Linked DNA regions of Caenorhabditis elegans. The protein of the gene in region 2 interacts with the protein of the main gene of each other region in a pairwise test. Each region holds a gene or a part of one and is shown on either strand. Other genes may lie near its edges.

What was found.
Region 1: the proteins of chin-1 (region 2) and cdc-42 interact in a two-hybrid assay, tested with the Caenorhabditis elegans proteins (one study listed by BioGRID).

Annotation. Positions count from the first base shown.
Region 1 is NC_003280.10:7,614,536-7,618,974, reverse strand, and holds cdc-42 (Cell division control protein 42 homolog), read right to left. Parts: upstream 2,524-4,439; 5' UTR 2,519-2,523; coding exon 2,396-2,518; intron 2,343-2,395; coding exon 2,178-2,342; intron 2,128-2,177; coding exon 1,930-2,127; intron 1,585-1,929; coding exon 1,495-1,584; 3' UTR 730-1,494; downstream 1-729. Other genes in the region: R07G3.8 (CYRIA/CYRIB Rac1 binding domain-containing protein), read left to right, coding at 366-461.
Region 2 is NC_003281.10:1,031,038-1,038,922, reverse strand, and holds chin-1 (Chimerin 2), read left to right. Parts: upstream 1-1,710; 5' UTR 1,711-1,712; coding exon 1,713-1,743; intron 1,744-1,828; coding exon 1,829-1,974; intron 1,975-2,022; coding exon 2,023-2,139; intron 2,140-2,468; coding exon 2,469-2,617; intron 2,618-3,886; coding exon 3,887-4,037; intron 4,038-4,453; coding exon 4,454-4,744; intron 4,745-5,648; coding exon 5,649-5,800; intron 5,801-6,101; coding exon 6,102-6,171; intron 6,172-7,048; coding exon 7,049-7,207; 3' UTR 7,208-7,601; downstream 7,602-7,885. Other genes in the region: pnpt-1 (polyribonucleotide nucleotidyltransferase), read right to left, coding at 738-879, 956-1,085, 1,239-1,318, 1,368-1,414.

The DNA.
Region 1 (4,439 bases), on a different chromosome or scaffold from region 2:
TCTCGTTAGGAATTGACAGCATTAATTCATACAATTTGAAGTTGTTTTTAATGATTTTTGTTTCAAAATTATTATTTTAAAAATGCATGTGACAATGAAAATCGAATTTTTTTTTCGTTTATAAATTTTAATTCATCAATTTCGGACTGAAATTAATTTAAAAGAATAGCGGAAAGCATTTAAAGCAGACGAAAAATGTTTGAACATGTTCGAATTTCTAGTTTTCTGCGAATACCTAACGAGACCCAACAGTTTGTCCGTAAAGCGCGATTGCAAACGCGCTTTCAAAATGAGCATTTTTCTGCGCTTCCATAATAAAAATTAGAATAAAATTGAGCAACCCATATTAATTGTTTTATTTTCAGTCTGATTGTCTACTTGCTGGTCTTCGTTTCACAACAAAACATTATAATGATTCAAGTACTCCAAAATCTCTTCGTCATTTGATTGAAGTGAAATAATTTCATTTTTTGTCAATTTGTTCATTAATTCTAGTCATCCTTGCCTCTATTTTATGTTCTCTTATCGTTTCTAGTTGAAGCCCATTTCCTCATACACGGTGATTATGTTCCTCTCCTCGTCAAACAGTACTTTTTGTCAGTGATAATAATTATTTTTCGTTCCAATTCACCCACTCATTAATTATTTTTCTCAATGCCTTATGGTTCCGGTTCTTCTTTTTCTACAACACCCACTTGTATACTTTTCAAGATCTTTTATAAACATCTTAATTTTTTATATCACACCTTTATTGTTTTGGATCGCAAATATATAACAACAATATGTAGAAAAATTAAAATACAGAGTTGTTCTGGAGAAAGGAGGAGGGAGACACAAAACGTAGTGGATGAGAAAACAGTTTAAAATGGGAAATGGATGTGTGAAGGCAGAAAAGCACAAAAAAAAGGAAAGAAGAAAAACAAACTGGTCGGTATTTTTGAGCAGCAAATGAAGAAACAAGCGACTCGGGATGTAGTTGGTTGTGCTATACAACACCTATTATATAATTATAAAAAGAACCATGGGAAAGGAGAAGGCGCATTACGTAACGGTGTATCCGGACTATAAACACGTTTTGGGATAAAAAAGAAAATAAAAACGACGACGAAAATGTTAAAGAGGAGGTGTCATTGAAAAGAATGATAGTTAATTTGGATGAACTTTTAAAAATTTTCGAGGGGATTATTCGATAAAAATTCGAAAACAGATGAGAAACTATAAACTGCCCTGCTTATCGAAATTCTATACGAAACAATTAAAAAATTCTGGAATCATGCTCATCGAGATTCTACTGGATAAGTTACAGGAGACGAATTGAAGAAAATCATCTTCTATGATGCTGTCAAAAATAACAGCAACCGCTTCTCGTTTGGCATTTTTCAGGGAAATTTAGAAGTATGAGAAGAGTGGAAGTCGGGGGCTAAGAAAATTTGGACATAGAAAGAAAAACACAGTCACAAAACAGAGGAAAACATGGAGACAAGGAAGACGTTCCTAGAGAATATTGCACTTCTTCTTCTTCTCCTGTTGTGGTGGGTCGAGAGCGGCCAGAATGGCTTCGTCGAATACATTTTTCAGTCCCTTCTGAAAATAAACTATTTAAACTTCAATATACAAGCGTTTTTAATCAACATAATATGAAAACTATGGTATTTTCAGCCGGAATATAGAGCATTTCAGGAGATAATTTTTTGCACAATAAAAACAGAATTCTGGTTGTTCGTTTTTCCCGAAAACATGACCGTTGCTAAATATAAAGCAACAATTTAACTGAAAAGTGATATTTATATTTTAAAGTGTCACGTATTTCCACAAGAGCCTCGTTTTAATATTTAAAAATTTATTATTTGATTAGGTTTCGTGGATTGGATGATATTTTATTTTAATGTTTCAATATTATCAATGACTATTTTGGAAAGAATGACTCACCTGCGTCAACGCTGAGCATTCAACGTATTTCACTGCTTTCAATTCCTTTGCCAACTTCTCTCCAACATCCGTTGACACTGGTTTCTGCTTGTTTTTTGCCAGTTTCTCGAGCATTCCTGGATCATCCCTGAGATCGACTTGAGTACCAACTAACAAGAATGGGGTCTTTGAGCAATGATGCGAAATTTCAGGCACCCACTAAAACAATTTCAGATATATAGAATAAATTCGAGAACAATATTTCTTACTTTTTCTCGGACATTCTCGAATGAAGCTGGAGCAACCACGGAGAAGCAAACAAGAAACACGTCGGTCTGTGGATACGATAGAGGCCTTAATCGATCGTAATCTTCCTGTCCAGCAGTATCAAACAATCCTAATGTGTATGGCTCGCCACCGATCATTACTGTGACCTGAAATTCGGAAATTATTTTTATATAAAATAATTTTTTTTTCTTAAACTTACGGCGTAATTGTCGAAGACTGTCGGCACATACTCAGAAGGAAACTTGTTTGTGGTATAGCTGATCAGGAGACAAGTTTTACCGACAGCTCCATCTCCAACGACGACGCACTTGATCGTCTGCATTTCGCCTGAAAAAAAAAATGAATAAAAGTATTAAAATTACGTCTTTATAGTGAAAAATACGGATGAGTCACATAAATGTGCACGCACACGTTTTAAAAGGAGAGATAACTAGAGAATGAAAACGAATTGCGAAACATCAGGCAGAAAATCAATAGTCTCTTTCGAAATGCCACGAGCGTTTCTTTACCATTGGGAGCAATAATTATCGAAGAAAGAGCAAGAAAAAAAAACGGTAAACGCCTTAATAAACGATGAAGAAATAAGGCAAAATGGCCAAAACAACTTGTGCGTATAATTCTTTAGATGAGGAATTTTGGCAATGATTCATCGGTAACTGGTCGGAAGTTTGAATCGGTTTTCCGTACCAAACAACTTGCATATATTTGAAACTAGTTATATTTAAGAAAAGGTACAAAAATAGGAATAATTCGACATGAAACACTGGAACATCTCAGTCAGGATTATGTTAGGGGAATTTGGAAGCAATGTTCAATAAAATGTCACGAAAATGATTTCAATAATTGTTAAACAGTCAGACAAACTTAAGCGGACCATTTTTTAAATAATTTAAAACATGATTGCTCCTTTCGAGAAAATTTATCAAATTAAAAACTGATAGGATACTTCGATCGTCTACCTACGTTTATTGATTAATTCTGCTCTTATAAATGAATAATCAATAATTAGAAAAAACAATAAAAGCCTGTAAAACAACGAAAAGCGTGAATGAGCTTTGTTGAACACGGCGAAAAAAGGAAAAAAAGAAGATGGTGGACAGTTTGTCGGCGAGCCTAAAGACGACCGCGACGCGGCCGCTCGCACTCATAGACTACGCTAGTGGTGAGATACGCAGAGAAAAAGACGAGAGAGTATTGAGAGAATGGAGACATCACTACATCTAACATAGGGTCGCCAGTCGTCACCGAATTATTGGATTCAAATTTAGGTCCCGTAACTCGTGAAAACTTATTAGATCGGTCAGTTATCTAGATAGAGTACTTGATTAGACAAATGATATCCCAGACTGGTCAGTTTCAGTCTAGAAATGACGCTGTAAACTTCGTAAAACCACCAAATAGGATTTCTAAAGTCATCATCTAGAATTTAAACTATATCTCACTTTGTTACGCTGTGAGGATATTATACATACATATTTTGTATGTAAGCTTAGTCTATAACTAGCGTAACCCGTTCCATGCTAACAGACGGGCGGCCATTTTAGTTTTTTATTTTTCCTGTGCGAACGATTGCCAGCCAGAAACTTCTTTCTTTTTTCTTGTTTCTCCTAGTGCAGAATATTTGTCCTCAATTTATAAATACCATCTCTAGAATATTAACTTCGATTGAATCCGTTGTGTTTTCCATTTTTTCTCAATTGTATTTCGTAAAATTAATTTTAAAATTGCCTTCTTTTTAATTTTAAGGTTTTATATTTCAATATGCTATTTCGTATTTTTTGTCTTACATTTCTAGATAGAATTCTAACAATGCTCCGATTGAATCTCACTCGCGAAATTTCTATTTCTCTTCTTTCACTTCAATCCAATCGACGATTCAATCTGCCCTAAATTTTTAGAATTGCATATTTTCTCTTGATAACTTCATTGTAAACCGTGTGAATTCCATGAAATTACATGTTCGTAATACTTTTCCCAATTAAAAGAAGAAAAATTTGGAGTTTCGATAACCGACGGCGCGTACTTCTCTTCTTCCTTATTGTTCGATCAATAGTCCCCCAATCCGGTTCCCTGCCGCGTCTCCTCCCTTTTCCGCGCGAGATGTGCCTGCTTTTCGTTCATGAATTTCGTTTACAACGTCATCAGCTCTTTTTCTGTATTCATTCTGAACACATTCCCGCCTTCACTCGAATTTACCGCCACCGCACACCTGTTCATCCCGCTTCTCTCACTCCCAAACACTG
Region 2 (7,885 bases):
ATTTGCCACGAAAAAAAAATGAATTTTTTTGAGAAATAGTATGGAAATTACTAAAATTTTCATAAAAATCTGATAATTTTAGGAATTTCCGGAACTTTTTTACGGCTTTTTAACCAATTTTAAATTTTTATGTTTAAAAACTTTTTTTTTTTGGAAAAAAAAACATAATTCCCTCAATTTTAGTAATTTCGAACTAGAAAATTGGAGTTTTTTGTAATTTTTTAAGCCTAAACCCCTTTTTTTCCACCAATGTCGTAAGATTTGGTGTTTTGGGTTACGGTAGTCGGTGTTTGCGTACTTTTGGGGCTACAGTACCCCGCGAAATTCCAAATTGAGCTAAAAAGTCATACTAAAAGCTGTTCAAAGCTAAACTTTGCGCTGATTTCGAATTTTTAACTTTTCCCGTTGGTTTTTCAATTTTTTGCACTAAAATTTTTGAAAAATTCGATTTTCTCAGAATTTTCAGAATTTTTCAGACGTTTTCAATGTGTTTTTCGGGTTCCTCGTGATTTTTTAGCCCCTCAGCCCATTTTTCAGGGCAAAATCTTAAAATGTCGTAAGATCCGGTGTTTTGGGCTACGGTAGTCGGTGTTTGCGTACTTTTGGGGCTACCGTACCCCAAAACTCCAAAAATTGCGATAGAAAACCCAATTTTAAAGGTCTTAAGGCAGAATTTCGCGTAGAATTCGATTTTTCCAACAAAAACCTCTGAATTTCGCTGAAAATCCCAGTTTTACCTGAGTTTCATAGGAATTTCCGGGTAAAAGTGGTCTAATCGACCTGTCAATGGCTCTGGAGATGAGGATTTCATTGTCAGATTGACTGAGCTCACGACGCAGGAAATTTGTTGGAATTCGGCCAATTGCTGACGCTGACGGTCTGGAATTTTCAGTTTTTAGGCCATTTTTATCGGTTTTTAGCGGTTTTTTCGCAATTTTTTTTCCGAATTTCTCACCGATATTCAACTTGTAGCGGTACTCCACTACCATCTCCTTGCTTGGATTTCCGTTGTACTACTGTAGCCATCACGGCGTTGTCTCCGAATGAAGCAACTACGGTGGATGACGCAAAACGGGCGAGGTGGCCTGAAAAATCAAAATTTTCATGAAAATTCCTTTTCTAGACAGTGGAGAATTTTTTCGCGCATCTTTTGCGGCAAAAATCGGCTCGAAATCTTTATTTTTAAGATTTTTAGCAATTTTTCCCGTTTTTTTTCTAGTTTTTTTTCAAATTCCCACCAGCTTTCAGCTCGATTCCACTTTTTCCATCAAAATCCACTGCTACTGATTGTTCTCGACCCGCTAATCGATATTCTTTCCTGGAAAACTCGCCAGATTTTTATTTTTTTGAATAATTTTCTGACTTACGTGTGAAATCTCTTGGAAATGTGGATTGGCAACCGGGAAAGTTTCATTTTTAATCTAAAAAACTAATTTTTATTCAATTTTTATCGAAAAATTGAGAAAAAAACAGCGAAAATGAGTGAAAATTCAATATTTTCAAGTTTTGAATTAAAAAAATAATTTGGTCGAGAAATGCGCCAAGGAAATTTTGCTGGCGCGTGTCTCGATCGCTGGCACTTTTCGCGATTTTCTTCAGAATTTTATTTATTTTCTAAGAAATTAGCTCAACTTTGCTCATTTTTCTCCAAATTTCTTCGATTTTTTTGCATTTTCAGTTAAAAAATCAATAAAAATCGAATTTTTGCAGGTATGGAAGACGACGGGCCTCCTGGGAGCTCGGGTAAGTCATTTTTTTCAAGCTCAACAAGTTTTGGAAGCTTTAAAAATATCCGAAAAGCTAAAATCTCAAATTTTCCAATTTCCAGGAGCATCAAAAGGATACTGGAAGCAAAATTTGTACCTTTTACAAGAAAAAGCGCCGAAACCCAACGCAGTTTTGTGCCGAAAACCTCTTCAGCAGAGACCTCGACATTTTGGAGCCGAATTTCACGGATTAATCGATAGAAATGAGGTTTTTAGTGATTTTTGGGTGTTTTAAGCTCGAAAATTCGATTTTCAGGCCGAAAAAATGCTGCTGGAGGCCGGAGAAGGCTCGTATTTGGTGCGGGAGTCGAATCGGAGCAGAGACGCGTGCACTTTGTGTATGATTTTTGATGCAAAGGTTATGAATTATAAAGTAAGCATTTTTAGAGTTTAAAAAGCAGAAAAAATCGATAAACATCAAGAAAATACCCGAAAAATATCAAATTTTCCGCTAAATTTTCGAATTTAGTGAAAAATTCCCAATTTTTGTTAACTCGCCGTGGCAAATGCGCTCTATCGGCAATTTTAGGCTGGAAATCTCGAATTTTTGCATAAAAAACTGCGAGAATTCGGAATTTTTCACCTAAAATTGCTCCGCGAGCACATTTGACCACTTTCCCTGGGAACCGCTGCCCAAATTTTCATTTTTAATTCAAAAACTTGGGATTTTTTCAATTTTTAGCCAAATTTTTAAATTTCCAGCTCTACTACGACGGTCAATTCTACGTTGGGGAGAAGCGTTTCGACACTATGGACCTTTTGGTGGCTGATGGGCTCATTTCAATGTTTGTGGACCTTCACGCGGCGGATTATATAAAAAGAATGGCGGATGAGGCGATTTATGAGGATAGGTATGGGAATTGGCGGAACATTAGCGAAAAATAGGCCGAAAATCATGAAAAATGGCAAAAATCACAAGAAAATGAGCCAAAAATTATAAAAATTGAAGAAAATTGACTTAGAATATAAATTCCGTGGCAAATGTGCTCTATCGGCGATTTTAGGCGGGAAATTTCAAATTTTCGCATTAAATACTGCAAAAATTTGGATTTTTAAGCTTTTAATTGCTCACCGAGCACATTTGACCATTTTCCCGGGGAACCTCTGCCCGAATTTTCATTTTTACCTCAAAAACTTTGGAAACATGACATTTTCGCTAATTTTCTGCTTTTAAAGCGTAAAATAGCTCAAAAATGCAAAATTTTCGGGTTTTTGGTTGAATTTTGCTCCAAAAATCGGAAAATAGTGGGAAAAATCTGAAATTTACTGAAAAATATGGTAAAAACTAGATTTCTTGCCCTAACGTTAATTTTTAAATGCTAAAAACTACAAAACGCGTCGAAAATTCAAAAACTGCCAATTTTTTCTTAGAAAATTCTAAAAATTTCAATAAAAAGCTCACTTAAATAATTCAAACCTACTTTCTGTTTTCTCCGTGGCAAATGTGCTCTATCGGCGATTTTGGCTTAGAAATTTCAAATTTTCGCATTAAATACTGCAAAAATTTGGATTTTTAAGCTTTTAATTGCTCACCGAGCCCATTTGACCACTTTCCCGGGGAACCTCTGCCCAAATTTCGATTTTTACCTTAAAAACTTGAAAAAATTAAAATATTGCTAATTTTAAGCTTCGAGAGCTCAAAATTACCGTAAAATTGCCGAAAAATTGAGTTTTCCCTGATTTTGGTCAAATTTTGATGTAAAAATCGGAAAATAGTGAAAAAATATGACAAGTTTACGGTAAAAACTGAAAAATATCCAAAAACTAGTCTTTTTGCCCTAATTTAGATTTTTCAGTGCTAAAAAGCTACGAAACGCGTCAAAAATTCCAATTTTTTTCTAGAAAATTCGAAAACTTTCTCTGAATTTTTGAATTCTCCCTAGAAATTGTCTTTGTACGCTTTTCCGTGGCAAATGTGCTCTATCGGCGATTACGGGCTGAAAATTTCAAATTTTTGCATTAAAAACTGAAAAATTTTGAAATTTTCCACCCGACATTGCTCACCGAGCCCATTTGACCACTTTCCCGGGGAACCTCTGCCCAAATTTTCATTTTTACCTTAAACAGTTTAGATTTTTGCGGTTTTTCCAGTTTTCCCCATAGAAATATCGATTTTTCAGCCCATATTCTCGGTATACGAACGCCGCCGCCACCACTTCAGACATTGTACGCCGTCCCGTCACTCGAGCACACAACTTCACGTCGTACACCTTCAAAGCTCCGCACTACTGTGATTATTGCCGAAATTTCCTGTGGGGATTGGTGCATCAGGTAAAATATTATAAAATATACGCGAAAATTAAGAAAAAACTGGAAATTGTGAAATTTTAGGGCGAAATTCTGGAATTTTTTGAAAAAAATTCATGAAAAAAACACAATTTTCGCAAAAACTGGCAATTTCTTCGGATTTTTAATGCCTTTTTCGAATTCCCCGCACTATTTTACCCCCGGAACTCGTTTTTCAGGCAAAAATCTCGCAATTACGTAAGATCCGGTGTTTCGGGTTACTGTAGTCGGTGTTTGCGTACTTTTGGAGCTACAGTACCCCGCGAAATTTCAAAATTGAGCTAGAAAGTCTGAGTTAAAGCTATTTAAGGCTAAATTTTGCGCTGATTTCGAATTTTATGAAGGATTAGCGCAATTAATATTTTTTCGAGAAACAATTTCAAAAAAATCAAATTTTCCAGGGAATGCGATGCGAGGACTGTGGCTTCGCGGCTCACAAAAAATGCTCGGAAAAAACGCTTCACGACTGTGTGCCCGACTCGAAATACGTGAAACGCATGTTCGGCGTCGACATTACCACCCTGTGCATGGCTCACGGAGCAGATTTGCCGCCAATCGTGCCACTTTGCATTGGAGAAGTCGAATCGAGGGGTCTTGATGTGGAGGGGATTTATCGGGTTTCGGGATCCTATGATCATATGGAAAAGCTCAAGCAACAGTTTGATTCTAATCAATATGTGGACTTGGCTACGGTAATTTGCGCGGGATTTTCAGCGTTTTCCCGGAGTTTTTGCCTAAAAAATTGCAAAAATCCAAAGAAAATGAGCCAAAAATCGTAAAAATTGAAGAAAATTGACCTAAAATAAGATTTCCGTGGCAAATGTGCTCTATCGGCGATTTTGGCTTGAAAATTTTAAATTTTCGCATAAAAAAACTGCTAAAATTTGGAATTTTCCACCCGGAATTGCTCACCGAGCACATTTGACCACTTTCCCGGGGAAGCTCTGCCCAAATTTTCATTTTTACTCGAAAAACTCGAAATTTCACATATTCAGCTCAATTTTTCAAGTTTTCTACTGCAAAATTCACTTTGAAAACCCTAACAATATCCTAGAACCCGTTTTTTGTGAAATTTCAAATATGCACCTATGGCTCAGTAGGTAACACAGATGGCTGCCAAGCACAAGACCGGGGTTCGACCCTCGCCGCGGCGAATTTCTTTTATTTTGCTTGAAATTGATTCTCAGAACGATTTAAAGTTTTATGACTCAAATTTTTTCTTGAAACTCAATTTTTGTGTAAAAATCTGAAATTTACTGGAAAATATCGAAAAAAAATTAGTTTTCTCACACTAAAAAATTCGAAAATTCAAAAACTGTCTATTGTTTTCTAGAAAATTCACAAAAATTTCACTAAATTTTTGAATTCTTCTTTAAAATTGTCTTTGTATGCTTTTCCGTGGCAAATGTGCTCTATCGGTGATTTTGGGCTGAAAATTTCAAATTTTCGCATAAAAAACTACGAAAATTTGGAATTTTCAGACCTCTATTGCTCACCGAGCACATTTGGCCACTTTCCCGGGGAACCTCTGCCCAAATTTTCATTTTTACCCCAAAAAACTTTCAATTTTTCTCAAAATTTCACCAATTTTTTCAGGTTTGCGATATTCACACAGTTTGCGGGCTCTTGAAGCTCTACTTCCGCCTACTACCACAGCAACTGATCCCGTTCAGCGTCCATAAGCAGCTTCTCGTCGCCTACCAGGAGACGAATCAACGATCTACACATGAGAGGGAGCGGCAGATAAGGTGCTGGAAATTTGGGGATTTTGGGTCCAAAATTTTCCCAAAATTGTAGAAATCCCGGTGAAAATGAGCCAAAAAATAGCTTTAAAAAATTTTTTTGGAAATTCCGTGGCAAATGTGCTCTATCGGCGATTTTGACTTGGAAATCTCAAACTTTCGCGTAAAAAACTGTGAAAATTTGAATTTTTCCACCCAAAATTGCTCACCGAGCCCATTTGACCACTTTCCCGGGGAACCTCTGCCCAAATTTTCATTTTTTCTCTCGAAAACTGGAAAACATTCTGAAATTACTGGAAAATTTCAGAAAAGTGATGATGGAGCTGTCCGATGCGAACATAATCACACTTGGAGCAGTGTTGGCGCATTTGAAAAAGGTAAAAATTCAAAATTTCACTATTTAAGTGGATTTTCGAAGGTTTTTGACCTAAAAATTCACTCCAAACCCCCTGAAAATACCCTAGAACCCATTTTCGCGAAATTTCGAAAATGCATCGGTGGCTCAGTAGGTAACACGGATGGCTGCCAAGCACACGACCGGGGTTCGACCCCCACTGCGGCGAATTTTTTGTTTTGATTGATATTGGTTCTCAAAGCATTTAAAAGTGTCGAAAACCAGTTTTAGAATTATTTTCTGTCCAAATTTCGAATTTTTCTTATAAAAATGAATAAAGCCCCAAATAACTTAATTCTAGTCAATTTTTCATCGCTTTTAGGTGTAAAAATCAGTTTAAACCCCCTAAGAATTCCCGGAAACCCATTTTCCGCAAATTTTCAAAAATGCACCTGTGGCTCAGAGGGTAACACAGATGGCTACCAAGCACACGACCGGGGTTCGACCCCCGCCGGGGCGAATTTCTTTTATTTTGCTTGGAATTGGTTCTCATAGCGTTTTAAAGTTTTATGGCTCAAACTTTTGCAAAATTCGCTTAATTTTTTTTCGTAAGAACAAGGAAATATTCTAAAAACTCAACTCTAGTAATTTTTCATAGCTTTTAGGTGTAAAAATTAGTGCAAACCCCCTAGAAATACCCCGAAACCCAGTTTTTGCGAAATTTAAAACTTGCACCGATGGCGCAGTGGGTAACACGGATGGCTGCCAAGCACAAGACCGAGGTTTGACCCCCGCTGTGGCCAATATTTTTTATTTGGCTTGAAATTTAGTTTTCCCCTAAAAAATTAGTTCTTAAGTTAAAAAATTCGAATTTTCAAACAAATTTTCTGGAATTTTTCAAAAAATTTCCCCAATTCCAGGTGGCAGATCACAGTGCAAAAAACAAGATGACCGTCGAAAATCTGGCGACAATTTTCTCGCCGACACTCTTCTGCTCGGGCTCCATACCCGCCATGCCGAACCATCAGCTGCTCCATTTTCTGATCAATAATCCACGTGTCGTGCCGAAACATCATTAATTTATTGCTCCCCGTGGTGGCAAGTGTGCTCTATCGGCGATTTTGGGTCGAAAATCTCAAATTTTCGTATGAAAAATTGTGAAAATTTGGAATTTTCGACTTTTAATTGCTCACCGAGCCGGCTTGACCACTTTCCCGGGGAACCTCTGCCTAAATTTTCATTTTCCTAGATCTATATCTCCCAGTTTATGCATTTTCTTCAGCAATTTCTCTCATCTCTCCGCATACTTTTCTTCATTTACATATCGGGTACCCGTTTTCTCTCGCTTTTGCATGTTTTTTGACCAGTTTTATGCATTTATTTATGATTTTTCCTTATTTTTCACATGTTGTTACGTTCTTATTGCATAATGTTTTTTTCCGAGTTTTAGAATATAAATTTATTGAGCTGTAATTCAAAAATTCTCAAAATTTTGTGATTTTAAGACCCCTGGCGCGTTGAATTCCGAAATTTTCATATTTTTCTGCAGTTTTTGGCTCAAAGCCTTGAATTTTGGCTTGGAACCGATGATTTTCAGTCAGAAGCCCAAACACCGCCAAATTTTTGCTCTGCAGCTCAAATGCTAGCTGAAAATGTTAAAACTCCGTTCAGAACCTGAAAATTTGACTCAGAATACCAGATTTCAGGTCATTTGGCTCCAAATCTCGATTTTCAGCTCAGAACGGAACTTCTATACC